Macaca fascicularis: one gene and its partner. The protein of the gene in region 2 interacts with the protein of the main gene of each other region in a pairwise test. Links are inferred from orthologs where the notes say so. Each region holds a gene or a part of one and is shown on either strand. Other genes may lie near its edges. The genes, in order: YWHAH and TNFAIP3.

Region 1 (4,398 bases), on a different chromosome or scaffold from region 2:
AGGTTTGAGGCAAGACCATTGTTTCCAATATGCACGATTTTTCTTCAAGCTTACCAACACTGTCCTCCAGGTGACGCTGGTAGAATAAGGAACATCAATCATTACAGGAAGGCAGTATTATCAGGTGAGCATTTTAATTGTGAAGGAAACAGAAAGCAAGTTAGAAGACCGAAGGCAAAACTGACTTGTTAATAACATCACTACTTTTATACTTCAGAGGACCTAAAGCCAAGATTAAGTTTCAAGGTTACAGAGTGGTGGCATCAGAATATATCCTCAACACAGGTGTCCTGCTCCATCCTCCCTACAACAGGCTACTTACCTCCACAGCTCTGAACAAAGCCCAGGTAAACCCAGAGGGTTACTGAAATTTACACCTTTTCCAAAAGAGATTAATAAAATAGAGACTGAGTCATCCCAGTAACATTAAGAATTTAATCTACAAACACCAATTTAGCAGGGAAAGTGACTCCTGCCAGTCCTTTCCAACATATTATTTTTCTTTTAAAGAAAATATCTATAAGCACAATATATTACATTGAGATGATGGAGGAGAAATGGTTTATCACAATTCTGAGATGGCAGAATTAAAGCTTGGATTGACTCTTCAATGCTGGCTGGCTTTTCCAACTCATTATTTCAAATATAGATATTATAGATTCCTTTGGTTTACAAAAGGCTACCTTAACCCTCCAGAGAAGATCTATGGACACTAGTAGCTAGCTGCAGGAAAGCATTTTACAAGCCTACTAGAAAGCCAATCTTTTTCTCTACTCAAACTAGATTTTGTTCTGGTAACATCTCTCCATTCTTGCCTTTTTCCCCCATTTCAAGTTGCTTCAGGTTTCTGATTGTTTCAGAACGCACCTTCTAGCCATTTTTCCTTCACCTCCATTCCCCTTCATTTAAACCTTGTCCCTCCTTTCTTTTCACATTTATTTCCCAAAGGGCTCCTAACACTGCAGTCTTTACGTCTCACTTAAGAGGGTGAGCAACCACTTCATGAAAATGTGTGGCGAGGCCTCAGCCTGCATAATCCCAGCACCACTCAGTAACTGGGGAGGAGAGTTTTAAGTGTGACCTGCTGTGGACAGAGGCAGCTGTATCCCAAAGAAAATTAAGGTTCGGGATCCCTTCCAAGGAAATGCATTCAGTCAGCCCCATTTCTGTACAATATGCAAAAATTATATTTTAGATTTTCTTTTAAAGGACCCCCTGAATTACATGAAGTTCAGCCTCCAGACCTAGACGGCCCCCCCCGGTTTGGAAGAAAACCTCCTGCCTCACCAAAACAGCATGCTAATAGTGCTGAAGTCAAGATCACCCACAAATCAACATACGGGCAACAGTGTGGCTGGTCTCCAAACACACCCAGTTGTGTGTAACAAGGACACCACAGGAAAGGCAACTCTTCAAGTACCTTTCTTACCTGAACAATCCTAAATATTAGCCCCAACTACATATTTTGTCTGACATTAAGGTCAACAGCCTTCAAATGAGCTTTCCAAATGACTTAAGATTTTAGGGAGCCTTTGTATTTGCAGTTTTTTCGCAACTCCCTCCAAAAGGCCAGCAAAGGATACATTTACTATAGTCATGGGCAGTAATTCTCAGACTTAAGCCAGCTAAAAATCGCCTGTGAGAGCTGGTTACGATGCAGATATGAGTCTCACCCCCGAATTTCTGCATCTGTAGGTCTAAGGCGGGGTTCAAGGGGCTCCTCCCAGGTCTCAGGAGGTTGTACACTGAACATAGCAGGATGGTGGCCGCAGCTGTAGTTCTATCACTGTGTGACCTTGACACAGTGAGAGGAAATACTCATTTAGAGAAAACGTAAAAGAACGTGAAGAGTGAGTGAGATGGTAACCGGAACTCAGAAATGCAGGTGGTGTGTGACCCACGGTATTTTGCTAGGGTGTGGCTGGGCACGACTCCTCCACCGGAGAAGAAGCTGCAGAATCGATTTATAAGGGTCTCGGGAATGCAAAGGCACACAGATTAGTCTCACCTAGAAGTCACGTTTCATTTTAATCTCCAGGCAGACAGCGCAGCAGCAAACCTGGGGCTGTGATGGGCCCCACACCCTCCGCCCCCTCTCTCGCCCTCGTCCACGCCTAGACTGCAGGAAAGGGGTCTTCGCACACAAAGCCAGACCCCCAGGAGTGGGAAGATGAAACCAGAACAATTCGAACAAGCAGAGCAAAACAGATCGGAATTACAGACTTCAGGACGTAGCAGAGAAAACCAGCTGAGACAGGGCGCCACTCACTAGGTGATTCTTTATTCCAAGTTGGGGAACGGAGGAAGACGAGAGGGGGGGCCCCCGGGTCCGGTGAAACGCGCTAGTAGGAGGAATGTGGCTCCTTCACGACCCCTAGGGCACCCTTTGCCCCCGCCCGGGATCCGAACTAAGATGTGGCGACCCCGGCCCGCCCGCCCCCAACGGGGCTGCCGCCGCGACCCCGAGATGCACCCTCCCGGATCCCCCAGCCCGGGCCCAGCCTCAGGAAGTGGCGGGGCGCCCAGCGGGAGCGGGAAGCGCGGGCGGCCACGCCCAGCCGGGTCGTGGGGTCGCCCATGGCCGGGAGGGGAACGCCGCCCGCGGCCATCCCCGTCCCTCCCCAAAGCCAGGCCTCCCCGGCCAGCCGCCTGGGCTCCCGGCGCGCTCACCGCCTTCATGGCGGAGGCCATGTCGTCGTAGCGCTCCGCCTGCTCGGCCAACCGCGCCCGCTGCAGCAGCTGCTCCCGGTCCCCCATGTCGCTCGCGGCTCGGCCTCGCTTCGCGCCTCACGCCGCTGGCTCGCTTGCCCGCCCGCCGGTCAGTCCGCTCCCCGGTCGCTGCGGAGGCCGCCGCCGCGCACGCGCACTGGCTCGCCGGCCGACCCGGAGGCTGCAGGCTGCAGGCAGCGCCGCCGCTCGCGCCCTCTCGCTGGCTCGCCCCGCGCGCTGTGGCTCGCGCCGCGGACACCGCCGAGGGAGGAGAGGCGGTCGCGCTGGGGGATGGGAGGACGAAACGACGCCTGCGCAGTGAGAGTGGCCAGGCCGGGCGGCGGGGAGCGGCGGGAGTGGGAGGGGGGAAGGGCGGGCCGGCCCTAACGGTCTATTTCAAGGTGACGTCACCTACTATAAATAGCCACCGCCGCCGCCGCCCCGCTTGAAAGCCGCGCAGGCGCTCTGCGAGTGCTGCATTTTACCGCCGCAGAGATGGAGGTGGAGAAGGGAAAGCCAGGCAGGAGACTGCGGAGCCGGAGGAGGCGGCGCGGTGATGGCGGCTGCACGGGGAGTGCATTGTCATAGCGCCACCCTGAAACGCACCACTTCAACCACGTTAGCGATGTGGTTTGAGAAGGGCCCCAAAAGCAAGCAAACCTACCCGCGGAGAAGCCGGGAGGCCGCGTGCCCCAAGGGGCGGGTCAGCCCAGCCCCGCCCCGCCCCGCCCCAGCCGTCCCGCCCGCCCCGAGCCCTGCCTGTCCGTGGGTTCTGCTAGGCCACACCCTGTGCTTGGGTCTGCACTGGTCCGGGCAGAATCGAGTCCGACCCTCGGGGACGGCCCCGCCACACACACAGACACATGCAGTCGCACACATCCTGAGACATAGCCTTGGGCAGGCTTGTGCCTTCCACCAGAGGGGACTGGATGACCAGGCCGAGACAAGTAATATTCAGGACACATTAGGAACCAGCCCAGGGCTAGTCCCGTACGAGCATTCTCCTCTTTAATCCTCACTACCCAGCCCACGTGGACACAGCTGGTCTCCCCATATTTAAAATGTGGAACCTGAGGAAAAGCAAGGTAGTGACTTGCTCAAGTTTACACAGCCTGTTAAGTGGTGGGGCCAGGATCTGAGTCCAAACCCAGGCTGGACTTCCTCTTGTGGCAAAGAGCTGGGGTGGCCCAACTGGCTGGTCACTGAGCCCCTCCCAATCCTGGCTGGCATTGGATACTGAGGGTTCCTTGTGCCAGGCCCTGGGCTGGGCTGCCCGACAAGCTAGGAATATAATGCTTAAAACAGGGCCCCAACTGACTTCCAACATGCCAAAGGCAGTGTAGGAGAAGGGGCCTTGGGCTCGCTGAGAATTTACTGAGCATCTACTGCATGCTCAGCCCGCAGGGATAAGCTGGATCTTGGAGTAGAGTCAGGAAAGAGATTAAGGCCTGGGGTACAGCATGGGCAAAGGCTTGGCAGTGACCTGGGAGATGGTGAGAAGAGAGGCCTAACAATGGGAAGTGAGGTTGGGTAAAACAAGATTACGGAATGTTTTAAATGCCAGGTGGAAGATTTGAGGCTTCATCCTTAGGTAATTGAGAAGCCATATTTCAGGCCTGGAATCTTGCTCTAGAGAGTAAGACGTGTTTGAAAGGAGAAGGGAGGGAACTGGAGACTAGGCCGTTTCTG
Region 2 (3,811 bases):
ATGGCTTGCTAGACAGGGATGGTCTGGCTGTGACTCAATGGCAAATGACTTGACCATTCCACTTTAGCCTTTGGGCCCTGGGAGTTTCCTCTCCTGGTGTGTAAAGTGGCGTTGACAACACTGAATTACCTATGGCCTGCTAGTCCGGCTCTCAAAAATGCCTTATGCAAACCTGCTTGTTAGTAACTGTAAAGTACAAAAGTTAAAAAGCACCTGGGTGTCTAAATTTGAAAATAATTCAGTGTTTAAGGCTGACATTTTGAGAAAAAAACAAAAAACAAAAAACAAGTTTAATTGTATGCCATTAATTTGTGACATTTCCAGTTTAAAACTCACAATTCAATGGGCTGCATTTTTTTCAACCCCCAAACAATAAATCTTTTGGGGGAATGTTTAAAACAAAAAACGTTAACTCCTTAATCTCCTTTGGCAAGTGCAAAATACTTTTTATAAAGAAAAGTTAAACTGTTTCTTATATTACTCTATAAGTAGGGCAATAAAGTTATTTGAAATTTTATCAAATTGTAATTATAGTCAAACTGTAAAGAAACCAAAAAACCTCAAATATATATCCACAGCCAGTATTCCTTCAATTTATACATTTAGAAAAACTAGCTAAGTATTCAAACAAATGAACAAAAAAGATCACCCAAGCCTTGTGTCTTGGCAGACGTGTAGCAATGATTGCATTCTGTTGAAATTTCCCCTTTGCAAAATCTAGAGCAAAGATAAGGCTTTTTTTCTTCTTGTGCTTACTTTCAGTTCTTTATTGAGATGCACCAGTATAAAATTCCCTAAGTAACATCTGGAATTCCCCAGTGCTAAGTTATTTGACTAGCAATTGAGCAACAGCTATTGTACTTTTTGTTCTGGTGTGTAGACATTTAAACTGCGAAGTGCACCCTGGACTTTCCAAGTGGGTGTGGTCAGGGTGAGCTGGAATAGGGCTACTCATTATACAAGTGAAATCGCTGCAGCCAATAGACGCTGGAATTTTTCACATGAAGTTTCAATTTTATGCCACCTACTCCCTTCCTCATTCACCACAGTCTCATATCCTCAAATGCAAACTTGTGAATCACCCCCTCCCCAAACAGATATTGCCTTTGAAGAACCCTCCTATCAAGGGAAGGATTAATTTTTTTTAAAAGGTGCTAATCAAAATCAAATTTAAAAAGTCATTTGTTTTCCTCCCCTCCCTAAATATCTTTTCTTCGTTTTTTAGAATCTTAAGGAGTTTTCTTGAAAGTGAAGAAACAAAAGGATTCTGAGTCCAAAAATGATTTCCCAGAAAATGTTACACAAATACACCTGCTTTTGTAGTTTTATTTCTAGTGTGGCTCCTTGTTGATTTAAATGACATATTTGCAAAATAAGTGTTTCCTATTTATATTCCTTTTTTTTTCCTAGTGGAAATAGAGCATTTCCTTTCTTAAGGAAATAAAGCAAAAAGTCAGTTAATTCTCTTAATAAGGTTTTCCCCTTTCTACCACATTTTTAATTCAGCAGAATCTTTGTTTCTAACTCCCCCAGAGTTGACTCCATCTCTTTTTGGTAACAAATGGGAGAGGATTAAAACCACAAATTGTCAGGCACATAAACCCCGTGATGATGACTTCACATAATTACCTACCTCTATGTATCACTTTATTTAATGCCAAGAACAATGCAGACAGTAGCCATCCCCAGTTTTCTTTCTATGTATGTTTCTAAGAATCAGTGTTTCATAAGTCTAGGCAAGATGTTGGGGTAATGTACAAGAGTCCCCAGAATCAAAATTTAAAAACCCATGTCCACTAATCACTCTAAGTTACCCAAGTCAAAAAAAGCCAAAGTTAATGTACCAATGAAGTTAATTAAGTTAGTGTTCTTATCGTAATCATTGTCAACAAGGATTTTCTTCCCTTGGACATATTATTTCTATTAGGATGGCTTGGGACTGTCACAGATATAAGGACCTGAGATTCCTGCTCTTATGTAGACTATGAGCATTTAATTGATCTTGTACAGTCTACTTGCTTATTGTCATAATTATCCACATCCATAGAGTAGAATTTTGTGCCTGCATGGAGCAGTATGCTCTGACATTCCTGTTAATGCACATATTCTTACCCAAGGGAAATGATTAAAAAACAAAACAGTAAAGCTTGGAATAGGAAATAGCTACTAGTGGTAAAGGCCATTGGCAGAACAGCACAGACAGGAAGGAATTCAGTGACTAAGAACCCCTAAAAATAATGAAGGTGAAGTCTAAAATTCATGCTAAAAATTTCAGCTATCTATTTCACCTTGCAGGGCATAGGCAATAGAACCTAGGTCAGAGAGGAGGAGGAGACAAACGAAGTTCTTCATGTCTTCAACAGCCATTCACTGGTTAACCCATAAAATGCTACCAATTCAAGAAGTGTAAGAACATCACAAGCATTTTCTAATGACAGTGGGAAACAAATGTACTACCAGTTTTCACACCATGCTTTCCTTTTGAACTTAAAGGCTTGTAACATTTCCATTACGGGCCAGTGAAGGGTATTTTACAGATGATTAAACATTTGCAAGAATGAGAAACAAATTGCCTAATCGGGGTATGGTGTTTACAAATGCATTCTCCAAGCCTCAATGTGCTCTGCAATATACGCAATCAGAAAATATCCTTAATAAATAGATTCACAAAACAAGTCTGCTATTATCACATGCCCCGAATAGAGATTCTATACTAAGGTCTCAATACTAAATCTCAAGACTGATTTGAGCTTGGGCTTGTGCTAGTAAAGCTTGAATGGGGACCCAGCAGGCGGGAGCTATCACCCAGGCAAAAGAAGCACAACAGATCAAGTTTTACCGTTCGTTTTCAGCGCCACAAGCTTCCTGACTTCTCGACACCAGTTGAGTTTCTTCTGGCTTTCCAGGGAAGCCTGGATGTTTTTGTCGATGAGGGCTTTGTGGATGATCTCCCGAAACTGAGGACAAAACTGGCAAGTTCTGAACATTTCCAGTGTGTATCGGTGCATGGTTTTAAAATGATGAATGATCCCATTAGTAGGTTTAAAAATATCTTCTGGAGTTCTCTCCCGTATCTTCACAGCTTTCCGCATATTGCTCAAATACAAAGCCTGAGGAAGGACTTGTTCAGCCATTGTGCTCTCCAACACCTGAAAAGGAAAGGAAAAAAAAGCCATTCCATTAGCCTAACTTTAATACGACTCCTATATAGCTGCCTGCAGGAAACCCCAGTGTTTGATCTTGTCATTACCCTGATCTGTAGGCAAAAGATCTTAGCACCTCTACTCCCGGGATACTAGCTGGCCCCAGAGATTAACTCACACTGGACTGTTTTAAGTTACATCACTTGAAAAGATTAGCCTAAACAGGAGAAGGAAGGCAGAGAGTGGGTACTGAGGAGGAGGGGAATAACCCGTGTTTTCAGTAACTTTTGTCAGGGAGCCAACCCTGTCTGACAGCAACAGGTACTGCTCCTCAAAACCAACGTAAGCTCCTGTTTCATTCTGAGGCCACGCTGAACAGCGCTGGATTTGGGGAGTACCGGATGCCAGTTAAGGGCTCAACATAGCCCTGACAAGTCTGTAGCTCCTCCCCTCAGACCACCACCAGGCAATCCTACTCTTGGGCCAAATCTTGAGTTATCACTCCCTCCCCTATGCTGGAAGGACAGTAAAATACTTTATGAAAAATCTTGCAATTTTATGCTGTCACTTAGGCTGCTGGCTGGTGTTTCCTCTTTATTCCCAAAGAGAAGTATTTATAAAGTGTGTATTCATAAAGTTTATTCTAATGTTTATAAAGAGTTAAAACC

What was found.
Region 1: the proteins of TNFAIP3 (region 2) and YWHAH interact in a two-hybrid assay, tested with the Homo sapiens proteins (2 studies listed by BioGRID). The link is inferred for Macaca fascicularis from reciprocal best matches to the Homo sapiens genes TNFAIP3 and YWHAH.

The regions. Positions count from the first base shown.
Region 1 is NC_088384.1:19,679,873-19,684,270, forward strand, and holds the start of YWHAH (14-3-3 protein eta), read right to left. Parts: upstream 2,951-4,398; 5' UTR 2,758-2,950; coding exon 2,671-2,757; intron 1,793-2,670; exon of another isoform or gene 1,584-1,792; intron 1,457-1,583; exon of another isoform or gene 1,430-1,456; intron 77-1,429; exon of another isoform or gene 55-76; intron 1-54. UniProt on the Homo sapiens protein: Adapter protein implicated in the regulation of a large spectrum of both general and specialized signaling pathways. Binds to a large number of partners, usually by recognition of a phosphoserine or phosphothreonine motif.
Region 2 is NC_088378.1:41,910,868-41,914,678, reverse strand, and holds part of TNFAIP3 (tumor necrosis factor alpha-induced protein 3), read right to left. Parts: intron 3,527-3,811; exon of another isoform or gene 3,251-3,526; intron 3,150-3,250; coding exon 2,840-3,149; intron 1-2,839. UniProt on the Homo sapiens protein: Ubiquitin-editing enzyme that contains both ubiquitin ligase and deubiquitinase activities.